Linked DNA regions of Arabidopsis thaliana. The protein of the gene in region 2 interacts with the protein of the main gene of each other region in a biochemical or structural test. Each region holds a gene or a part of one and is shown on either strand. Other genes may lie near its edges.

Region 1 (8,113 bases), on a different chromosome or scaffold from region 2:
ACCATTAGAGACCTGAAAAGTATCAGACACTGATTCCCTCAGTATCGGAAATAAAGGTTACCTGCATTGATTTCGTTCATTGCCTTGCGTACAGAGGGATCAGGAATAATGTCAACCATTAGAATGTGCTCAATGCTGTATCCATAAGCACCCATCACCTGAAGAAACAAACAACTCCAATCATGAGTCATGACCATTACAAAAGTCTTCACCAGTCTCGAAAGCAGGCTACCCTCGAATATATGTTATTACTTTTCTCTATGCAATCCACACATATCTATGATAACACTTCACAAGACTCAGTATTCACCCATTAGTTATCTCAAATGCAGGATCACGATAGAACATCAAGAATCTCACAAATGAAAACATAGTCTTGAACAAAACCAAACATATACTTAACGTTGTAACTTTTCTTTATGAAATCCAAACATGCCTACTTGATAATCCACCTATTAGTTAGCTCAACAAATGCAGGATCACTACAAAACATCAAGAATCTCAAAACAGATATCTTATATCCTATTATGAATAAATAGTCTCTAAACATACAAATGAATGAGATAGTGAAGGAACAAGATGTTATACCTTCTCAAGCTCCTCAAGAACAGACTTGGCAACTTCACCCTTTTGTTCAAAAAGAGCATCAAGCGTCATCATTGGGACCAAAGCCCTAACCACTATGATTCAAAAAACAAACATACAAGAACAAATCAAGAATCAAAACAGAGCTTCTTCAAACAAAGAAACAAAAAACATCAACAGAGAAGCAAAAAAATTACCATCAAAGACATAAGCTTGGATCTGCTCTTTAGGGTTTTGAAGCTCATAAAACGCATCATCAGCACTAGCTTTCACTACACGATACTGAATCGAACAAACCAGCTGCACAAACACATTATCCTACAAACAACAACGACAATAAGCCTAATTTACATGAATCTCACCACATACAGTATTAACCAAAATTCGCAAAGGATCAAAAGGAATAAGTGATCACGAACCTTAGTTTTGGTTTCAATTTTGACATCAAGAGATTTGATCCTAGTGGAGAGAACTCCGGCGAGCCATTGACCGGCGAGAGGGTTGAAGAAATGACATCCCGGTTCAGCTATATGCTCGAATCGACCCCAACGTTCGACCACACCAACGCTAGCTTGTTCAATACAACCTCCTAAGATACAATACGTATTACCCATTTTTACGCAGCACTCTCAAGCTTTCGAAGAAGAAGAAGAAGAAGAAGAAGTCTCGCTTATAAATCTCCACGACTCGTTCGTTTCTATGGAAACAAATGGTGTTATGTGATCGAAGCCTTTTGCTACCGTTAGATCAAGCGGTTTGAGGAGAAATGGACGGTTAGGATTAGTTACTGATTAATTAGCTATATCAACAATATCTTCCTTCCTTAGATATTTGGTATAATCCTTTTTTGACCAATGAAAAGTATAATTTGATATTTTTTTCTGTCTTTTGTGGACAACTAATAATTTAATTTATTTCTTTCAAATAACTCAAGTAATTCTAAAAATTTACTAGGTCCAAAATCTAATCCTGAAGTCTAGAAAAATCATGTAAATTATTCGAATCTGGTGGCCAATGCTAATAGTTAACCTTTGACTTTATATTTATAAATTTGTATCTAGATCTAGATGACTAATAAAGACTTAAAAGTTAAAGCTCATATCCAAATCTAAATCAAAACCATCTAACAAATCAATTCTTTTGATATTGATTTGATCAATATCAGAAAAAAAAATGTTATACGTTATTTTTTTTCTATATTGAATTATTGACAATAAATTGGTTCAGAAAGTTATAAAAAAAAAAGAAGACAAAGTACCATAAATATTTTCCATCTACCGAAATTTTTTAAAAGTAATGTACTTGTCTTGTCTTCTTCTAAGGTTGAAGAGCTTAACATAAACACAAATCATACAAACCAATAAAGTACAACACGTTGAACAGTTTTTAAACGTTAATGGGAAGGGAAAAGGCACCTTTTTCTTAACCCTAAACACAGGAAAAGGTGACTAACAAACCCTTCCTTAATTGATTCCTAAGGTACACATTACACATTTGCCTCGAGAGAGTTCTCAGAGACAGCTACTACAGTTACCTAGCTCATGAACTACAGCTTCCACGGATGGTCTTTCAATGGGAGATTCATGAGTGCATAGCCACGCGATTCTAGCTAGCTTTGTGGCTTCATATTCAAAGAATCTTCCTTGAAGATTTGGATCTATGTAATCATTGAACCTACAAGCTTCAGTTCCAAGCTTAACAAGATGCCTAACCTTCTGTTTCCCGGAGATTATCTGAAACACAAGAATCCCGAAAGCGTAGACATCGGTTTTCTCGGTGAAACGTCCGGTTGTGGTGTATTCTGGAGCGAGGTAGCCCATTGCTGCACTGTCTTTGAGTGCAGAGAAGACAATGTCGTTTGTGAGAAGTGTGTGGAGGCCTGAGTTTGAGAGTAGAGGACTGTATCGCTGGTCGATTAGAACTTTCTCCGCTGAGATGTTTTGGTGAACCAATGCTGGCTTGCTTCCTTTGTATGAATGTAGATAAGCAATCCCTAAACACAAAACATCAAACACATAAACAAAAATGAATCAAGAACGCTAACAAAATTGGTTCGGCATAAATAAAACTCATACCTTTTGCGATGCCTTTAGCAATGGATACTCTCGTGGACCAATCAAGAACATGCGCATCACCATCTTTGAGATCAAGATAGCTCAGTAAATTTCCATTAGGAGCAAAATCATAGATGAGAAAACATTCTCCACGGCCTCTTGAACAGCAGAAGCCTCTAAGTTTTGACAAGTTTTCATGTTTCAGAGACGCCAACATGTTGAGTCCTTTCAAGAACTCAGGTTCTTCAGATTTGCAACTTGTTTTACTAAACCGTTTGATCGCTACAGCAGAACCATCTCTCAAGATTCCTTTGTAAGTCGCAGAGAAGTTGCTTCTTCCAAGCAAATTCACTTCTGAGAAATACTGTGTAGCAGTTTCAACCTCTTCAAGATTGAATCGAAAGCTCTGGATAACTTCTTGAGCAAAGACACTGAGATTCCTATTGTCTGAAAGTGGATCCCAACCATTAGTATATTCAAGACTGGCCAATGGAGAACCATTGTTCTTCCTAAAACCTCCTCCTACGGTGTTGAGACGGTTGTCCGACATTTCATAAGTGGTTGAAAGCTTCTGTTTGCGTCTGCGATAATGCGTGAACAAGAGGATGCTAATAGCAGACAATGCAATAGTCGAGACAACCAAACCAATAAGGATTGCACCTTGGTGAGATTTTGGAGGAGTATTACAGTTTGTTCCATTACAAGGTGACCGTAGATTAGCTGATTCTGGTATATCCCGGGATGGAAAACCAAACACGGTTGCACCGTATGGCTTAGGTTCCTCAGGAGCTGTGCCATTGCAAGATTTCAACGGCGAGAACTCAGCTCCACATAGTCCCAAGTTGTTTTCAAACGAAAAACCTTCATTTAATCTCTTCAGTACTGTCAAATCGGTACAACAGAGAAAGAAATATAAACCAAAATGAGAAACACTTCACAAAATACGCAAAGTTAGTTTCAAAGATCATATAGTGAATCAGTTTTCTAACCAGGAGGTACATTGCCAGTGAGGGAGTTGTTGCGGATGTCGAGAACTCGAAGCAGAGGAGGGCTAGCTAACTTGCCTGGTACAGAACCAAACAAATGATTGTAGCTCAAATCTAGCCGCTCTAGAGCACTTAAATCTCCTAAACTCGCAGGTATAGCTCCAGTGAGTTTGTTAGATTGAAGAGCAAGAACACTCAGCTTCCTCAGTGAACTAAGCTCCCTAGGAATGCTTCCAGTCAAATTGTTGTAACAGAGCTGCAAAACTACACAACAACATAGACCAAAAAAGGAATGAAGCTTAGCTTTGACTTACATTAACTTAGAACTAATTCTAGATTTAGAAACCTGGTCCTGCTAATTAAAGCTCAAATATAAAGCCTTTTGAAAGTAAGTGAATCAATTATCTAAATAAACAAAATTAATCAAGAGAAGTACAAGTTATCTTCAATTCAAGTCCATATTTTGGGACCAGTAAGCCATTTATGGTTCCAATTAAAAGTTTGAATCTTAAAAAGTTCTTGACTATTCTTCCTTACAGGAAAATTACAAAAAGAAAAATCCTAACAAAAAGACATGAAAAGGACGTTTTAAAGACAGATCATTAAAGCATTAAATTCCAAAATCATCTAATTCAAATAATTTCAACTACCAGAGATAGTAATGAAGTAACTAAAACCCCTAAGACAAGGAGCTCAGATTTCTAGGTTTCAAATCTCCACAGAACATTGATTAATCTTGGGACAAGAATTTTGCAGAAACCAAAGATCTAACAATGCTAAATTTAGGTTTTAAGTTTAATCAATGATTAAGATTAAAATTAAAGTAAAAAAGAACTAACCTTGCAAGCCTTGCATCTTCCCAATGTTTGAAGGAATCTCACCGGAGAGATTATTAACATTGAGATAAAGATCCGTAAGTTCCGACAAGTTACCAAGTTCTCTAGGAATATCTCCAACAAGAGCATTGTAGTGCAAGAACAAACCCGTCAAATGTTTAAGCTTTCCAATGTTCGGAGAGATTTTACCAGATAAGCCTTTCCCTTGTAGAGATATGTTAGAAACTCGTCCTTTCCAGTCACAACCAACACCTTCAAAGTCTTTACACAGATCTCCATTAACACTCCATGAAGCTAAGTGTTTGTCTTCTGGGTCAAGCTCTGTTTTAACCTCCATCAATGTCGCTAACTCGTCGGTGATTTCTGCCATGACTTGGTTGCTGAAGTGAAGGAAGAGAAGTGGAAGAAGAAGAAGATGAAGCAGCATTTGTGTCGCCGTCATTTTATTTCTAGGGTTTGGTTTTGAGCTTGAAGATAGCAGCTTCAGAAAGCTAAAGGAGATGTGAAGAAAGAATTAAAGGTTCAGTTTTTCAAGAAGAGGAGAGAGAAGATAAAGACACAGAGATGTCGCATGCTTTTGTTCCATTCAGACAAAAGAAAAAAAAAAGTGTTTGTGTTTTGGAGATACCAGAGATGGTTTAAATCTGATCGTTCGATGTTTTTGTGTTTGATATGAATCGTTGGATCTCTTGGGATGTTTTTAGTTATGGTGAGTTGGTTTTTATGTTATCTTATCTCGTTGATGTTGGTCCACTCTGACTAGAGCAATGCATGTTCTCTTTTTTTTTCTCCTTAGTTTATATATATTTCAAATTCTATTTCTTACAACATTTGTAATAGAATTTTCAAAATTTATTATGAAGAATTTGTTGTACTTGTACATACGAATTTTCTACAGTAAGTCTATAAATTGTATTATGATCCAACTTTTGATATCTTTTGTAATCGTAAATAATTTAGCTAAAAATGGTAAACAAGAAAAATGAAGGTCAAAACAAAAAGATCCCACATAGATTTTGGGAAAGTGGAAAAGCTCTTCTAAATAAGGCAATCATTCAATTATGCTGCGATGAAGCTAGGAGGAATATGACCTAATGACCATTATATTTTGGACACACTAAAATGTTCTAATTTGCCCCAATAGCCGTTGTTTTAATTGGTTAGGCTACTTATTTTTGAATACTAATAATCACAGCTAGATTTTATATTTAACCAAATATAGTCATATAATCCTAAATGTAGTTAAAGACAATCCTAAATTATATTTTAACCAACACACAATCGCAAATATAGTCGTGTAATCCTTAATGCAGATATAAAAAATCAATTTAACTTAAGATGCTAATAACATATTTATAAAAAAAATATAACAAGTCTGAATCTTATATACACAAAAAGAGATGTGTCGATGGAGTTGGGAGACAATTTGTAAATTGAAAGCACAAGCAATGCAATGCAATCTATTAATCTAATAAGTGACTGGGCGACGAATTCGGAATGGAAATCATGTTCTCTAAATTGGGCTTTAAACAATATTGCGTGAAGCAAGAATAATAAATTTGGGCTTTAGAAAATTGCTAAAAGGCCCATTATCAAATACCCAAAAAAAAACTAGTTTCTGTGTCGGAATTGTATTGAGCTACCGTCTACCGATCATGGCATACCGCATACTTATCTTAAATTATTAAAATTGCCTGTCATTATTCAGTCATGACTAAAATATATAAAAGAGAGCAGAGATTCATCGTAGTAAAAAAAAATAACGACCCAAAAATTATTTTACATGCTTTATGTGACTTTCTCATTCCTTAATGATTACACATAAATCCCTGAATTCATTTTATCTCTTATGCTATCATGAAGTCATGAACTATAGAGACGGTTAACGAATTTGCATTCTACCATATTACTGAAGTGATGCAACATGCACGCACTTTAAATATAAATTTGCATGCAGAGAAACTATAAAAGGAAAATTGGCTTGAATTACTTAACATGAATGAAACTAAAAATATTAACGAGGTTCGATTATTTTGATTTTCACACTAAATTTCAAACTATATATTAAATTGAAGTCATTGAAGGTTATATATATGTGAAGTTGTTTTGAATCTTAACGCTTAAATAGTCATTTCGGATTGTGATCCCACTAAAAACACTCATTCAGGATTATGAGATTATCTAATAGTACTACAATTCTTCGTGAGCAAAAGAGAAGATCCTAAAAATAATGTTTGCGTTTTCACTTTTCACTCGTTTTCACCGAAGCTGTAATAATCACTCGACACTCATGTGGGTCACGACTCGGTCACCTTAAATTATTGATCCCAACATTTACGACATAAGTTCAGAATAAATAGCAACGACATAAAAATTCATTCTCGACTCTTGGGTTTGGGTAAAACAATATCAATAGAAAATACAAACTTCATCATCGCATCCACGATTCTAACTTAGATAACAAGAATCGCATCCCAATTAACTGTGGTGAAAAACGAGATTCCTGTTCACTGTCACTTAAAATACAGGTCACTAATCATCGAACTGAAAATAAACAATCATGCATGTTTGTGAAAACGTGAAAAAATTTCCACTGTCAAGAAAGTCATCGCACCTTACAAAATAATTAAATTCACCACTAAAGTCTACAAAAGAACATTATGAAACGAATTAAATGCAACACGACCAAAACTAACGATGGGCCTCACCATTCACCGGAGCGTACACTTCACACGCGGTCTAGGGAGTTAAAAAAAGTCCCGCAAAATTCACGCGACGTCTGTCTCTTTCACACTCAGATGACGTGTCATTTAAAACAAGGAGTCAACACTGCCAGGTCAGCGTATAAATCCACATATATGCCAGGTGTTGCCTGTCTGGCGTCAGTGGTTGTCCTTCAGTGTCACCGTAACGTCAGTGTAACAAGTGAGACCCACCAATAGCCAAAAAATAAACTTTTAGTGGCCCATTTTAGCAGAGAGCTTTCAATCTCAGCTGTACGATTCTGCTTGCTGACTAGTATATAATTAAATTTTATTTGGATTTTGTTTTGTAATATTTTTACAAAACAACATTTTCGTTTTTTTTATAAGTGTTTTGTAAAAATATTTAAAAAGTGTTCACATCAATATATACATTGACAAGAGAGCCGCGCAATTCGCTCCGCGATTGAGACGGGCCCATCCTCCTTATCCTTCCCAGGTTTTGTTTTGTTTACTTCTCATTTTTTTTCTCTTTGTTTTTGGATAATTATAAAATGTATCTAAAATCTAAATTTAGTTTTCGATAACTGGTTTAGTGGAACTATGCTGACGAGGACAAACGAACAGCTATTATCCGATATTTTATCTTTTTATCGTTTTTTTTTGGGAATGATACTTTGTATGGTGAAGAGTAAAATATAAAACGAAATTCTAAATATTCTCATTGGAACCTTCAAATGCGAATTATGGGAAATAGTTTTTATGGGATACACACCAGCACCTCGTATACACCATCACTGCTCATGTGTCCCTATTTTATTCACCTCTTTTCTCTTTTCAATAGTCACATTAGAAATTTCAAAAAAAAATCGAAATTTTAACACTTTCTTTGATGATTGGAATTGATGATTGGAATTGATGATGTAGAATCGTGGTTAGGTATAGCTAAT
Region 2 (8,741 bases):
AATGGGTTACGCCGTTATGCTAATTGATTTCTAGGATTAACTTTTTTCTTGCTCCATGTTTTGTAGGTCTGGAAAAGATTCATTCAGTTTGAGCAAACATATGGAGATCTTGCTAGTATTCTAAAGGTATTTTAACTCATTGAATGTTGTCAACGTATACGAGGAAAGCTACTATTATTAGCTTCCTGTGTTTTGTTAGCATTTTTTGTAGTTGTTTTTCGGTTGACTCCATTATGATGATAAGTTTGTTGAAGGGTCCAAACATTTATATCTATTCCATCTTACTGGCTTTTAGTTGCATGGAAGATCTAAAAATGCTGACACGTTCAACTTATTGCTAGAATAGACTATGTCAGACTCGCACCTCATAAAAGAGACATTTGATCAACGATGAAATTTACTGAAATCAGATCCACGATACATCCAGTATCAAGTGTGGCTGTTTGATGGAGTAGTCTGCTTATCTTCTTAGTTTTTTGCTCATAAATTTTCTTTACTATGACAACCTTGTTGTAGGTTGAGCAGAGAATGAAAGAAGCACTTTCTGGAAAAGGGGAAGAGGGGTCTTCTCCTCCAGAGAGTTCACTTCAAGATGTTGTTTCTCGGTACAGTTACATGGATCTTTGGCCATGCACTTCTAACGACCTTGATCATTTAGCCAGACAAGAGGTATTTTCCATGCAACATATCGCAATTAGCTCAAATAGCTACTAATGATACATCTAGTAAGTACTAATTCTAACCGATCAATGTGTTCACTATAGTTGCTTGTGAAGAATCTGAATAAGAAAGCAGGGAAAACAAATCTACCTCATGTTCCTGCGGCTATAGGTCTGTTCTTTTTAATTTTCTGGTGTGATGGATTATGTTAAACTTTGGTGATGACTGAAGTAAATAAACCGCCTTCTGGGCTGACAGGTAGTGTAGCTTCTTCGTCAAAAGTTGTTTATCCAGATACATCTCAGATGGTTGTTCAAGACCCGACAAAGAAATCAGGTATCTGATTTGCACTTTGCCGCAATATTTGGCTGCACGATGAATGGAATTGTTAACTTATTCTGAACCACTCATGATTTGACTGTAGAGTTTGCTAGTTCTGCAAACCCAGTGGCAGCTTCTGCTTCGAACACCTTCCCAAGTACTGTGACTGCAACTGCAACTCATGGATCAGCCAGCACATTTGACGAAATACCAAAGACTACTCCACCTGCATTGGTAGCATTTTTAGCTAACTTGCCTATTGTGGACGGTAAATCTCTTAAAAACCAACTCCAAGTTGTATCTGAACTGAGCACCTGAATAAGTGTCCACTAACCAACTAGTTTATCATTATCTTCTCAATTCGCAGGTCCAACACCCAATGTGGATGTTGTTCTGTCGATATGTTTGCAGAGCGACTTTCCAACAGGTCAAACTGTAAAGCAGAGTTTTGCTGCTAAAGGCAATCCTCCAAGTCAAAACGATCCCTCGGGTCCAACCCGCGGTGTGTCTCAAAGATTACCAAGAGACAGAAGAGCTACAAAGAGAAAAGATTCAGACAGTAAGTTACATATGCTTATAGTTTATGTTCAAGTATATATATTTTATGGCTCATGACTATGTCATCACTCAAATGTTTGGCACTTCTTAGCTGCAGATGCATATAACTTCTACTATCCCTTAGAACAACCGTTAAATGATAGTTACTTATCTTATTCTATCTCTCTGTTAACAGGGCAAGAAGAAGATGATACAGCAACTGTACAAAGCCAGCCTTTGCCCACAGATGTTTTCAGACTAAGGCAGATGCGGAAAGCTCGAGGGATCGCAACATCATCACAGACACCAACCGGTTCCACATCGTATGGTAGTGCCTTCTCTGGCGAGCTTTCTGGTAGCACTGGCTAAAATATACTGAGATTGGCAAATTTGTGAAGCCTCTCTTAATACTTGTAATTTATTTCCCCCAACAATTCCAACTTATGCAATAAAATTAAGTCTCTTTGGATATATATGTTTCTCAAATCTTCACGGTATTCAATGGTAGTTACAATTATATTAGTGGTTTCAAAGAACAGTACACTATATAAACCTGCAACTTATGAAACTAGTGAACTGAACCCGAAGTGCTTCTTACAAAACTTTCCAAATCAGTCAAATCTTTCACCACATCTCTCATCGATGGTCTGTTCTCCGGCCTCTTGTCTGTACATCTAAGAGCCAAGTCTGTGACTTGGATTGCTTGTTCCCTGAGCTTCGTATCCAGAAGCTCATCCACAAGTTTTGGATCAACGATTGGACCAGCAGTATCGTCTTCATCCTCGTAGCTGCTTAATACAGATCTGACCCAGCTCACAATGTTGATATCTTCCGGGAAAGATCTGTCCAGTGCTCTCTTTCCTGTTACCAGCTCGAGCAAAACAACTCCATAACTGTAAACATCTGATTCCTTGCTCCTCACCGTCTTGTACGCATTTTCTGTTTGATAGAAATATGGTCATCAGAGCATGAATAAGGTAACGGTGAACAAAATACGAACGTGTTATGTTGAGAAGTATATATACCTGGTGCAATGTACCCAGTTGTGCCAGTAACAGTGGCCGTTGAAACTGTTGAGTCATCTAGAATCCGAGCCAATCCGAAATCTCCAATGTGAGGCTCCATATCCGAGTCCATGAGTATGTTCTCTGGTTTGATGTCGCGGTGAATTATTGGTGGATGACAATCATGATGTAAATACGCCAGTCCATGTGAAATCCCAAGGGCTATGTTGAACCGTGCAGACCAGTCAAGAACTGCTTCTCCTTGATTACCTCTGTGCAAAACGTCGTGTAGGCTTCCATTGGGCATGTACTGATACAGCATTAAGCCATCTTCTTTCCTCATCCAAAATCTTTCTAACCGAATGAGATTTCTGTGCCTGACTAGCCCGATTGTTTCGATCTCCCGCTTCATATTTTGGTTTGCGCGAATGTGTTCCGCAAAGATGAGTTTCTTCACGGCGTATTCTTCGCCTGATCCTAAAGAAGCTCTGTAAACAACTCCATGAGCTCCTCTTCCAATGATGTACTTGTCATCTAGATTGTCAGTGGCTGCTAGAACTTTGTTCAGCAACAAGGACAGACCTTCCTCTGCGAGGATATTAGCATCTTCTGTCTTGGTTCCTCTTTTGCACCGGCATAAAACCAAAAAGAGAGCAAAAAGCAAAGCCAATACGGATAGTGAGGACCCAGCTGCTATAAGGGCGATCTTCCACGTGCTAAGTTTGACTTGACCTTTGCAAGATTTAAACTCTTTGCGGATTATGGCACTCACTGAGTAAGAAGCTTGAATGCAGAGGTCTGGATTTCCAGAAAACTTTGAAGAATTTGATAACAGATTTACGGGTATTGGACCCGTGAACTGATTATACGAGACGTCAACTTGATTCAATGACTTAAGACTTTGAAGAACCGATAAAGGCCCTGTCAACTTGTTGTTGGATATGTTGAGACGTTCAAGATTGATAAGAGCCCCCAGTGTGGTTGGAATCTCACCCGTAAATACGTTCGCACTGAGGTCTAAGCCATAGCGTAGACTCTTCAACAAGCCAACCGAGGAAGGAATCTTACCTCCAAAAGCATTTCGAGCTATCCGCAGATCTGAGAGTCGGTCAAGCTCTGCCAAGAACTGTGGAATAGCTCCTAGAAAATTATTGTCACTGAGAACTAAAGTGGACAAGCTTTTCCAGCTTCTGAAGCTTGATGGAATAGAACCGTTCAATGAGTTGGATCCAACATCAAAATACAGAAGTCTCGCACAGCCTGATAGCTGGGATGGCAGAGGACCTTCCAGATAATTATGTGAAAGGTTCAACAGTCCAAGGCTTTGCAGATTTCCCAGTTCTGGAGGTATCAGACCCGTGAGTTTGTTTTGAGAAAGGTCAATAGTCAAGAGATTTTTACAGCTTCCCAAGCTGCGCGGGATGGATCCTTCAAAGCTATTGCTTCCGAGGTTCACATAGGAAAGACTAAGACTCTCAGGGAATTCCGGAAGAACACCTGAAAGTTTGTTATCTTCAAGTCTGACTCGCTCAAGGGTCTTACACTGACGAATAGACGCTGGTATCTTACCATGAAGCTGATTAGAACCCAAGATGAACAATCTCAACTTCTGTCCATGGCAGAGATGGGGTGGTATCTCCCCTGTAAAACGGTTACCAAGAAGGTCCACCTCCTCTAAGCTTCGATTCAGGCCTAAACTCATTGGTATATCTCCATAAAAGCCGTTGTTAAACAGTGTAAGCTTCTTAAGGTGCTTCAGCTGAGTTACTTCAACTGGTAGTTCCCCGGTGAGAGTGTTGTTATAAACGAGCATCTGTGTCAGACTCTGAATCTTCCATATGCCAATAGGAATCTCACCGGACAGCTTATTAAAAAAAAGCTCCAGGCTTTGTAGCTTCTTTAGCTTACTCAATGCAGGTGGTATCTCGCCTTGGAGCTGGTTGTCGTTCAGCTTCAAGGTTTCCAAGCTGCTGCAGTTCCCAAGCTCTTGAGGGATATTCCCCGAGAGACGATTATCGGAAAGGTCAATAACCGAAACCTTTCTCAACATACCCATTGATGATGGGATTGTACCTGTCAAGTTGCATTTCACCATGACTAAAGAGTGAAGGCTACTGCAGTTGCCTATCTCAGGTGGAACACCGCCTTGGAAATCATTGAACGAGAGATCTAAAGAAACCAATTTCTTGCAGTTGCTAGAACCAAAATGAAGCCTCCCTCCAAGGCTGTTGTTACTGACAAATAGCTCACCAAGATTCTCGAGTAGATAGAGACTTGCTGGCAAAGAACCATTTAACTTGTTGTTGTTCAAAGCCAGATATTCCAGCTTACTACAGTTCCCAAGCAACTCTGGAATGGTACCAGACAAGTTATTATATGACATCCTCAGATCTACGAGCTCTATCAACCCACCAACACTTGCAGGAATGAGACCACTAAGATTATTGCGATCAAGATACAGAAACGTCAAATTCTGCAAGCTACCAAAAATATCAGGAACTTCTCCAGAAAAATCATTGTTAGACAAATCCAAATACTCAAGTGAAGTACAGTTTCCTAAAGTGGAAGGCAATAAACCAGAGAAACTGTTAAGACTGAGATCCAATGTGACCAAGCTCTTAAGCTCCCCAATTTCAGAACCTAATTGGCCTGAAAGCCCAGAAGCAGACAAATTAAGGGTCTCGACGACATTACCAGAAAGATCACAAATGACACCAAACCAGTTATTATTACATGGAGTGGTTTCAGATGTGTTCTCCTTCCACGTCGAAGCTACTTCAAGTGGGACTTTATCAAAGTGCTTGAGAAGCGAGAGTAAAGCCAAACCATCTGAGTTTAAACTAGAGACAGAATCTATACGGAAATAGACAAAGAGAGAGCAAAGCAGAGTAATTTCGAGTAACCCAAGATTCCTCATTTGAGATTAGAGCTCAAGAGACTGAAATATGAAACACTCGTACGTAGTAACCTCACTCAACAACCCTTGAACCCAGAATGAGAGGCGGAAAAAAAAAAGAGAGAGCTTTTGGATTTGAAAGGGTATCTGGATTTAGTGACAGGAACAGATTGCATTATTTAAGAAACGATCGATGAGTTTGGTGAGAGAGAAAAAGAGCGCGCTTTTTGGTTAACTCTTCGTCAGAGATTGTGAACCTAACTTTACGAATTGGCGACCTTCAACGCTGTTTCGTGTTTCTTTCTCGCTATTTCCATTACTACTCGGAGACTGTTTCGTGGTTTTAAATATTCCATTTTCCACGTTTTGTTTTCTTAGCTTATTCAAGAGAAAGCTTCTTTGGACGCTAATTTTCTATTGACATTTCATCCTACTGTTACTTTGTTAGATTTAAATCTTTCATAAACATTATATATTGGAATTTAATCAAGATCTCTGGTATCTGTCGTCTACACTAGAATTTTAACTAGTACTTTATTAACAAAACCATATTCACATAAAACAAAAATGGTTTATTAAAAACATAATGTCAAAACTGATTGAGAGATTAATTTTGATCTTCCCTGTTAACAATATTAAGATAGTGGAGCACTCATCAGTCTATTTAAAAGTCTTAAACCACTTGTATATCTCTCTTTTATGGAATTATTATGTTTATTTCTCTCATTATTACAAAATGTCATCATTTTGGGAGGATGCTATTACTCTTACTAAAATAAGATAACACGCATTCTCAACTTAATTAGACTCAATGATCATCTTTAAATTGATATTCTATATTCATTCCACCAACATAACTCAATCATTCGACGTGCACCATTACATATTATAATCTATCTAATTCCTTAACTGAATTCAATTTGGTTTGGTCGTCTCATGGTATTGAGAAGTCAAAAAAGTCCCAACGAAGAATCATACTTTCTTTAATGTATACAATATTCGTTTGTAACATTTTAACACGTTTATTTTGGAAATATCATACTGTCCATTTCGATTTTAAGTTGGTTGGTCGTCACTTTTGCAGGTCCCAAACGAATTTAATAACAACTTCTATATATGTCTCCATCACCAAACCCTATAATTATACTGTAGTTCATAAATTTTCATAGTTGACAAAGAAAATGTGATTTTCACCATAAGGATTTAGAGAGTGGTGGTCCTTGTTCTGTCTTCTATCACTTTTCTTTAAGTTTTATATATGTTCCACTTCTTTGGTATATTTCCTTTACATGATGTTGAAATTTGAATTTAACTTCAAAGGGTTTTCACATTAGATTCCAATGAGGTTTGCAGATTGCATTTTGTCACAAGATCACAAGGCCACCTACATCCTAAGACTAAAACCCCCAAAGACCCAAATGCGAATCCATTGAGTAGTGATGGAGGAATTTTGTTTTCAAGTCCAACGGTTCATCGTAAAATATAAGCAAAAGCATTTTACAAGAGAAACATGACATTAACCAAAGGCATTACATACCATAAGAAAGCAAAACAAGAACAATGTAATAATACCAAGATACACACACTCGCTCGCAACACCACAGATTCTCTACAGCTTAACAACCACTGGATAAAACACCTTAATCCGGGTCACAGTTTTATTCTCCATACACCACAATGCAACTCCATCTCAAACTTTATAGTTTAAGAAACACAAACTCTTCAATCGCAGAAACACCCCCAATCCTCTCAAGTGTTTTGTTGTCTGGTTCTTCATCAACTCCAATCGCCATTATCGCTTGTTTCCTCAACACTGTTCTTCCAACACTCATGAAATTCACATTCACGTTTTGTTCTCCAAGTATGTTACCAACCTGTCCAATCATCCCTGGTTGATCCACTTGCCTGCACAGTATCAGATTCCCTTCAAGGCTCACATCCACACCAAATGATCCGACACAAGTTAAATGCGGAACTCCGTACTTCACCTTCCCTTCAATACTTATATCACCAGCATCAGAGACAGCACCAGCGAAATTTGACTCCACATTCAAAATCTGAACTTGGATGGAATCAACAGGGTACTCTGGTGATGAATCAACAACCATTCGTTCCTCACTAATACGAAGACCCTTTTGTTTAGCTATGAAATCAGCATTCACCAAGTTGACATATGAATCTGAGATCGGTTCAATGATTCCCTTTGTGATCATTGCACGAAGTAGTCTAGTATCCAAATCATCTCGGTCACGAGCTGACCGATAGACCACCCTAATGGACTGTACTCCTTTACCTCCAGATGCTAACTGCACAGCTAACCTCCCAAGCTTCTCAGCTAAGACAATATAAGGAGTCAACTCAGACAAGACCTCAGGAGCCACCATTGGAGCATTGACGGCAGTAGCTGATAACTCTCCTTTCAATGCCCCTGCTACAGCCTCTGCTATCTCAATGGCTACACCTTCCTAAAATATCACATTGGAATTATATAAACTCGAAAAGAAGTGTAGAGAGATGAAACAAGTAACATAAACAAGATCAAGAGAGTGATGATACCTGAGCTTCTTTTGTGCTAGCTCCAAGATGAGGTGTCACAGTAACATTTTCATGCTGAATTAGTCTGCTATCTTTCGATGGTGGTTCCTCACAGAACACATCTAATGCTGCCTGAGCAACGATTCCGGCATCGAGAGCTCTAACGAGTGCATCCTCGTCGATGACGCCACCTCTAGCGACATTAATGAGACGCACACCTTTCTTCATCTTAGAGAAAGTTTCGTCGTTGAAGACCTTTTTGGTGGCCGGAGTTAAAGGCATGTGCAGGGAGACGAAATCGGCGGTGGAGATAGCTTGATCGAATGAAACAAGATCGACACCGAGAGCTCTGGCTCTGTCAGCTGGCGCGTAAGGGTCGTGGGAGATAACGGTCATGCCTAGACCTTTGGCTCTTCTCGCCACCTCCGTCCCAACTTTCCCGAAACCCATCACGGCCAAGGTTTTTCCGACGAGAGATACACCGACGTACTTGCTCCTCTCCCATTTTCCTGTAAAAATATCCAAATGTCCAAATTTCAGAAACCGCCTCGGTATTACTTGATGGAGGAGTCATCTCAGTTCAACTCAAATTGATTTTATTTTTTAGAATTTTTTTTTTTACTAGATTACAGAAGAAGAAGAATAACTCAAATTTTACAAAAGTGATTTTTAAGTGAAAGTGATTAAGACTTAGAAGAGATAATGGTATTGTAATGTCTACACTTTCTCAGTTTCTGTCTCGATCGTATATTGATGCTTTGACTGACGACAATTCCACCTTAACAGTA

Evidence for each region.
Region 1: the proteins of PEPR2 (region 2) and AT5G51560 form a complex in vitro, tested with the Arabidopsis thaliana proteins (one large-scale study listed by BioGRID).

The regions. Positions count from the first base shown.
Region 1 is NC_003076.8:20,942,597-20,950,709, reverse strand, and holds AT5G51560 (Leucine-rich repeat protein kinase family protein), read right to left. Parts: upstream 5,035-8,113; 5' UTR 4,904-5,034; coding exon 4,465-4,903; intron 3,890-4,464; coding exon 3,629-3,889; intron 3,522-3,628; coding exon 2,661-3,521; intron 2,579-2,660; coding exon 2,097-2,578; 3' UTR 1,771-2,096; downstream 1-1,770. Other genes in the region: AT5G51570 (SPFH/Band 7/PHB domain-containing membrane-associated protein family), read right to left, coding at 62-158, 589-680, 783-903, 1,005-1,199.
Region 2 is NC_003070.9:6,103,354-6,112,094, reverse strand, and holds PEPR2 (PEP1 receptor 2), read right to left. Parts: upstream 5,773-8,741; 5' UTR 5,440-5,772; coding exon 2,544-5,439; intron 2,458-2,543; coding exon 2,087-2,457; 3' UTR 1,975-2,086; downstream 1-1,974. Other genes in the region: CSTF77 (Tetratricopeptide repeat (TPR)-like superfamily protein), read left to right, coding at 67-126, 517-669, 765-831, 919-996, 1,085-1,249, 1,349-1,540, 1,715-1,887; PGDH (D-3-phosphoglycerate dehydrogenase), read right to left, coding at 7,116-7,883, 7,975-8,451, 8,677-8,741. UniProt on the Arabidopsis thaliana protein: Acts as a receptor for PEP defense peptides. Unlike typical immune receptors, senses an endogenous elicitor that potentiates PAMP-inducible plant responses.